2 linked regions of the Caenorhabditis elegans genome follow. The protein of the gene in region 1 purifies or fractionates together with the protein of each later gene. This does not show direct contact. Each region holds a gene or a part of one and is shown on either strand. Other genes may lie near its edges. The genes, in order: ska-1 and ska-3.

What was found.
Region 2: the proteins of ska-1 (region 1) and ska-3 purify together in Caenorhabditis elegans (affinity purification with mass spectrometry, with the first as the bait; one study listed by BioGRID). This does not show direct contact.

The regions. Positions count from the first base shown.
Region 1 is NC_003279.8:10,472,983-10,476,691, reverse strand, and holds ska-1 (SKA complex subunit 1), read left to right. Parts: upstream 1-2,256; 5' UTR 2,257-2,257; coding exon 2,258-2,342; intron 2,343-2,396; coding exon 2,397-2,869; intron 2,870-2,918; coding exon 2,919-3,092; 3' UTR 3,093-3,179; downstream 3,180-3,709. Other genes in the region: row-1 (C2H2-type domain-containing protein), read left to right, coding at 1-443, 644-751, 795-889, 938-1,019; Y106G6H.16 (Dynein light chain), read right to left, coding at 1,195-1,341, 1,391-1,474, 1,524-1,628, 1,702-1,779; Y106G6H.14 (Osteoclast-stimulating factor 1), read left to right, coding at 3,304-3,399, 3,447-3,564.
Region 2 is NC_003281.10:5,677,291-5,681,111, reverse strand, and holds ska-3 (Spindle and Kinetochore-Associated protein homolog), read left to right. Parts: upstream 1-2,106; 5' UTR 2,107-2,123; coding exon 2,124-2,237; intron 2,238-2,286; coding exon 2,287-2,467; intron 2,468-2,510; coding exon 2,511-2,798; intron 2,799-2,844; coding exon 2,845-3,050; 3' UTR 3,051-3,143; downstream 3,144-3,821. Other genes in the region: pst-2 (Adenosine 3'-phospho 5'-phosphosulfate transporter 2), read right to left, coding at 155-276, 330-402, 508-614; rps-12 (Small ribosomal subunit protein eS12), read right to left, coding at 964-1,231, 1,399-1,536, 1,766-1,782; F54E7.9 (N-terminal methionine N(alpha)-acetyltransferase NatE), read left to right, coding at 3,224-3,497.

The sequences.
Region 1 (3,709 bases):
TACGTCCAAATGTCCGTCGATCCAAGCACATTTTCGTTCGCGAATTCGTTAACCACATGCGTTCTCATGCATTGGGACCACAAATGCGATGTCATGTATGTGCTCTGACATTCACTAGCAGATTATTGCTTGAGGCTCATCGTACCAATGATCACACAATGCTCAATTCACTGTGGCAAGTGATTGAACGGAAATCCGTCCATGAAACTGAAAGAGAGCATATGTCAAAAAGAAATAAGATAGGCCTACTTCAACGTAGATTCTTTGAAACTCTGGAAGGGCGTCGGATAAACGATGAAGTTGCCTGTGCTGGAGACAAAGAACGAGAAGGATTTGATCTGACGACTACTGGGGATACTCTGTTCGAATGTGAATGTGGCTTCAAGTCGTGGAATGGGAACCGAACAGCATCACATTATCACAAATGTCGTCGGTCTATAAATGTATGATTGAATTTTGTGTCAAGAGTGTGCGAAAAAATCTACAACGTTTTTTTTTCGGCAAAATAATTTAATCATTTTTCTATATTTCTACAGTAGCCTTCGAGTCAAAAGTTACATTAAAATTTCAAAACGGGCCATTTTGTAGATTTTTACACTTCCTTATATATGACTTGTTTCAAAATATAATGTTTTTATTGTAGGATATCGAAAGAAAACGGGAAATTGTCCGGCTGGGAAGTGATCCGAAAGAAGAACTCGAACTTTTCGCTGTATATCCACAACCAACAAACACTGAAGCAGAAACTGAAGTACGTTAAAAACAATCGTGTTAAACTGGAAAGTTTTTTTCAGGAAGCAACACTTCGAAAAATTCATTTGGAGAGAGGAGATCCTTTACCAATTCTTGAAGATATTGTTTACCAGCCAATTGATGATTTACCACTATTGTACGTAATTTCTTCTTCCTAACTCTATATACAATACATTTTTTACAGAAAAATGCTCTCTAAAAACCACGACAAAAGTTTGGAAATTATGGAAAAGTGCACGGCGAGTGCCGTCACTACCGAAGACTGATTCGATCTCGCTTGATCTCCTCATTATGATACTATTATTTGTATCGATTTTTCTCCACGGTTAAAAACTCTACTTCATTATGTTTTCCCATTGAATCACATTTCGATCTTTTCCATGCTTATTTTGAATGAATTACAAATGTCTTGAACAAATTGCTGTACATTTATAAAGCCATTCACCACGTTGGCCGAGGACAACGTGTTGGTAATCGCAAAAAGTAGAAATGATAAGCTATGAGACAAAGAAGGGTAAAAATTATTATTAAAACTGTGCATCGTAGACATGAAGACGAGTTAGGTTGTACTTTTATTGTGTTTATTATCTGAAAAATAATCATTTTATCAGAAAATTGAGATATTTATGACTCCTACTTTTTTATTTTCTGTTGGAGATCGAGTAAAATGGCGCATTCGAATACTTTGAACTGGTGGGGAGCTTGTTTTATTTATATGATACTGAGAATTAAATATATTTTTTATCTCTTTTGAAATAAAAACAACTCACATTTAAGATTTTGCAGATTTTATCTGGCTTTACACATGTGGACGGAACACATTCTGCGTCAACAGAAAGAGCATCTTTGAGCAATTTTTCTGCTTCGTTGCGAACCTGAAAAATTAAAAGATGAGAGAAACTGAATATTTTTCAGTGTTATAACGCGTTATCGCATCAATTAACTCACGTCCTGCCCATTTTCAAAAAGACGAACCACTTCTTCAGCTTTTTCAATAAATAAATCAAATTCGTCTTTTTCTTCCATTTATCTTCATTGGGTTAGGTATAAATATGATGTTATTTTGTAGAAAAACGTTTCTAACAAAGATAAAAATCTAAATTTGAAAATTCGCTTTTATGGTCGTGGCCTAGAAATTCGAACTGTGGCTGCTCTATCGCCCACGGATGTGTACTCCTCTCGAAGTATATCTGAATTAAAACGGCGCGAATATGACTCATCGTTCCTTGCCGTCTTGTCTTTATTTATTTAATTGTTTTATCTTTTTAATTAGCTATAACTTCTTAATTAAATTGGAACAGATTTTTTTCTTGCTCTACTGCATTCTTTATTTCTTAAATCCAGCAGAAACGGCCACTGCTTCCTTTTTCCCTAAAATTAGACTTTATCGAATTTGGCTCTTTTCCGTTGATTCAATTTCAATTGTTGATACATTAAACATATCTCTAATACTACAAAACATAACATATTAAAAATTAAAAATTAAAACATTACCTGTTTCAGAATGGAATCGTTTATTGATCGGATTACCGAAGAGACCGATGAAAATTTCCGCATATGTCGAGAAAATATTCCCAATTTTGAAACAAGTACGTTTACTTTTCTTCACAACTTCTCGCATTCTTCATTATCACTTCTTTCAGCAATCAGCCCTCTCTTGAATACAATGAAGAATATCAAGTTGTTACTAGATGATGCAGCTTTTGATCAACAAAAATTGGAAAACAACTGTGAAGAAACATGTATGAACTGCACCAAAAGTCAATTGAATGATTTTCTCGGAATCAAAGTTGAAGCTTCCACGATTGTCGATGTGAAATCACAATTGGTACCTCAAAGTAAAGAATCATCTGCTCTTGTCGAAACCAATGAACCGAATGAACAAGGATTATCGTCTAAACCGAAAGAAAATGATATCAGAATTGTGCCACAGATAACGGATGAAGAATTCAAAACAATTCCAAAGTATCAACTAGGCCGGTTAACGCTGGAAATGATGAATGAAATAGTGAGCAAAATGGATGATTTCCTGATGAAAAAGAGCAAAATCCTGGGGAAAACTAATAAACAGCTGACAAGGAGCGATAGGGAGGTTTTGGACAATTGGCGAGAACTTGTAAGTTTGTTTTACTTGTTTTATTGAAAATAAATCTATAATTTTTCAGGAAATGAAAGCAAGAAAGAGACTTCCAACAACGTTATTCTTCATAGAAACCGACATTCGACCAATGCTCCAAGACCGTCTTCGTCCATCATTTGCCAAAGCAATTCCGTGCCTTCGTCACATTCGTCGAATTCGAGAAGAACGATGCGGACCGTTGACTTTCTATTATCCATAAATTCCTTACGATATTTGTACATTTTTCAAACTGGTCTCAACGTATTAAATTTCTCTGTCAAATAGCTAATAAACGGATTTCTACTTCAAATGATCAAAAAAATTTATTCTTCAATTTTTACACCTTTGTTTTGGTGAATATATTCTACTTTAAAAATATTATTGTTCTGATTAGAAATATGAATTTTTCAACATTTTTAAAATTTATCAGAATGTCATCAGCTCGACCAATGGCTCCACCACCACCAGCTCCAAAGCCAGGACGAGTGAAAGTTTATCGAGCACTTTATGATTTTCAAGCCAGATCTGTAAGCTTTAATTTGAAAAAAACAACCCAATTATTGAATAAATTCAGGCTCAAGAGCTGACATTCAGTGAAGGAGATCTAATGTACGTCAGCGACGAGCAGCCGAACAAAGATTGGTTCCAAGCAAGCATCGGAGGCAAAAAAGGATTGGTTCCAGCTAATTATGGTGAATACTTACAGCACAATCAGGAATGTTTTGCAAAGCTGCGGCGCGGTTCGATGAGAAGCGTAGATTAATTCACATGGTTTTACAGTTTTTAGTTAAATTACTTGTTTTTGAACTTTTTTCGTCAGTTCATTAGTACAAAATC
Region 2 (3,821 bases), on another chromosome or scaffold:
ATAAACAAAATCGAGAAAAAATCCGTAGCAACAAAAGTTTGAAGTTACAGTACTCTTTAAAGGCACACATCAGATTTCATTAAACAAAAAAGCGTGTCGAGACCTATTTACTGACGCACAAATCGCGAAATTTGAATAATAATTGAAAACTCACATTCGTTTCGTGTTATGCCAAATAATACATTCCGTATATCCACATCCGCTATAAATCAGGAATTGAATAAGTGTTAACGTCCATCCAAATGGTTTCATTCCAGGTAGTTTGAATATTAATTCCTGAAATATTTTTTTTCTTCCAAACATTTTTTTATGTAAACTTCTAATCTCACCTGCATATACCCGTATCCTATGTACAAAATAAATATTGCTAAAGAAAGAAGAACAAATTGAAGCCATTTTGGTCTGAAAATCATGAATTCACAAATTAAATCGGCTCGAGATTTCATAATGTATTCTCGATTTTATCGCTTTTGAAATTCCGCTTTAAAATTGAAAATTAAAACTCACTTTCTGGCAATATTAAACCCTAACAGATGAATTGGTTCTACATCCTCTTTGACATGACGTGGCAGCATATGAACACTACAATCAGAATGTATTTGAGCTGCAGTCATTTGAAAGAGTGGGTGGAAAGTGCGCAAATAAAGGGAAATTGAGATCTAAATCAGATAGGCATTTGTTCAGATTGTCCATTGGGGAAAGCCTGAACCGCGACTACGTTCACGGCTTTTGAAAAGGGGGTATCGATCTTTTTGCGCGTTGGCAATAGTTTCTGCGCTACGTCTCTCTATGCATACGTTATTCATACCGAAATAAAAATTCACCGGCGTGATATATTGCAGAACCTTTCCTATACTTTCTGCTCCCGAAAATATTATCCCAACAACTTGTGAATGTGTACCATTTTGTAATTAAAGACGAACAAATAGGGAACAATAACAATTTATTGGAACAACGAACAGATTAGTTCTTGGAGGCAAAGTAGTCGGTGAGGATGGCACGTCCTTGCTCCTCATTTCCCCAGTTGGTGACAACGGCGGATGAGCATCCAACGACCTTGCGGGCCTTTCCTTCCTTATCGTACTTGCAGAGTCCGCAGTACTCTCCGATGATCTTCTTATCGGCGACCTTAATGAGTGGAATCTGGTGCTCGGCGCAGAGGGTCTCGACAAGCTTGACGTATTGTGGCTCGTCGCAGTTCTCGGCGAGGACACAGAAGTGAGCCTCACGCCTGAAAATTGTTTGTAAAATCTTTGGAACACATACAGCATGATACCAGTACACGTGTGGCAGAGTAACAACTTATCTACCAGCTTATTGGGGTCACATCGATTCTAGAACCGGCGACGTTGAAAAATAAGTGGAACTAAAATACAAACTAAAATATCAATTACTTACTTGTCAAGAGCCTTGCAGGTCTCGTGGAGTCCCTTGGCGAGTCCATCAGCGTGGTGGGCAGCGCGAAGAACAGCTCTCAAAGCTCCTTCCTTGTCCATTGGTCCCTGGGCGACGGCGGCTGGGGCCACTTGAACATCTCTAAAATTATCCAATATTTTAATAGCCTTCATAAAAACTTAATTTTGCTTTTAAGACAAGGAATCTAATTGTTCGAACAACTTTGGAACCGATACAGCTTCAAGGCCAGTACCCGTGTGGCAGTAGAACGGTTTTTATTGCACACTACGATAGGAAAACTATGACTTCAAAATCTTCCGATATAATTGGTAGGTGCAAGATTTTTCAGAAAAAAACAAAAATAACCTACCCTCCTGCGTCAGACATTGTTGTTTGCAGCAAGAGTCCTTGATGCTTACCTGAAAATTAGAAATTTCGACTCGTTAATATTGTTTTCACAAAATATATTTCAAGATTTGAGAAAAAGAAAAAAAGAAAAGAAAAAATTGGGAAAATCAACGGAAAAGAGGGAAGCATGAAATGTTTCTGTATCACTCCGCAGCATGTCTTTGAGTCGCGGCACAGTGAAATGTGCTATAGAGCGCGCTTGCCATTTGTCGATTTACGGAGACTTGCACGCGGGAAGCTTTGAATTTCAACAGTTTTCTGTATTTTCTCAGTCTTCATCAAACATTCATTAGCATTTTTCAGGCAAATAAAGGAGTCAAATGGCTAACGAAACGCTGGAACATGTTCTTATTTACTTTTTGGAGAAGCTAAAAGACGTTCGATGCAACCAATCTCCAGAATTACTTCAAAAGCTGACACTCTCACAGTACAAGGCAAGTTGTCGAGCTTTCAGTCCATTTAAATTATTTACATGAATTTCAGACTCTTGCACAATTGGATGTGGACATGCGAATGAGACTGACGCAGGAAATGGAGAGCTATGTGGCGGATCATGTAGAAATTATGAAACTCGAGCTGCAATTGAAGAACAAGAAATGTGCGCTCGCTGGAAAACTGAAACAGTTGGGGACAACGTTTGATAAAGCTATTGTGGAGACTAAAGGTGAGTTGCAATAATTTTTTCACGAAAAAATAGAAAAATTCAGAACGAAACGAGCATTTGCGGATTGGCAGCATTGATTTTCTGAATCCCGTGGTTGAGAAAGTGGAAAAAATAGTTTTTGCAAAGCCAGAAATGCCACAAATATCAGTCGAACAAGGATCAGTTCTCGGTGAATCTGCGAGACGTCAACCGGAGCTTGTCTCTGTAATGGCTTCCATAATGAAACCACCAACATTTTCATCATTGGTGATGACAGGAAGGACTGAAAAGAAAGAAAATATTCCGGAGACCAAAAGCTACAGTCTTGATGATTCTTTGATAAACGGACATGGTAAATTGAATTAGTTTGTCTTTGCAATAAAAACATGCCATTTCAGACATATCAATGGTGAATACATCCAACGAACGACGAAAACTGGCTTTTGATGAGTTGGACGATGAAGAACTGCAAACTCCAGCAAGAAAACCACAAAGAACTCCATCCAGAGCTCCAGAACGGAATCCTCTTGATCTATTTTCCCTACAAGCACCGCCCGTCTTCACATCTTCAGTTGGTCGAGCATTCAATCAGACAAGGGATTGATTTTCTGAATTTTTGATACTAAATATTATTTTATTTATCTGTACAAATGTGGATATGAATACAATTTTCTGAAAATGAAATCAAATGAATTTGAAAATCCAACCAGTTTTCAACTGTGAATATTTTTAGAATTTTCGCATGTTCTAGTCAACGTTTTAGACAAAGTTTCAGCAATGGAAGAAGAGGAATGTTTATCACATTCATCACCATCAACCGATAATTCTCTTGAACTTCGACTGCAACGAGTGACTGCGGAAAACATAAAAACAGTTCGAATCCTCGTTTCAAGCATATTTCCGGTGTCGTACAGCGACAAATTTTATCAAGAATGTATGAATAACGAATTAACAGGAGTTGTAATACGAAACGGCGAGGCAATCGCCATAGTTGCTGTAAAGCCCGAGAATTTCGAAACAGGACGCGTACTTTATATAAGAAGCTTTGGAGGTTTGTAAATTTTTGAGAAATTAAGATTTTTTCATTTAAAATTCAAGAAAAATGTTATAAAATTAAGTTTTCTAAAAATTCTAAAATATGGTCTCAAAGTTCAGAAAAAAGTCTGGTTTTAAAACAAAAATCAAAAATTAAAAAATTAAGATTTAAATTGATTTTCACTAAAGTCGTTTTTTAGAAGATCTTCCATTTTTTTCAGTTAAAATTTTTTCGAAGCTATTTTCTAATTAAAAGTGTCATTTTAACCTCAAAAATTTGTAGAAAAAGTAACATTTTGATAAAAAGTAAATTTTGCAAAATCTAAAAAATATTTTTCAA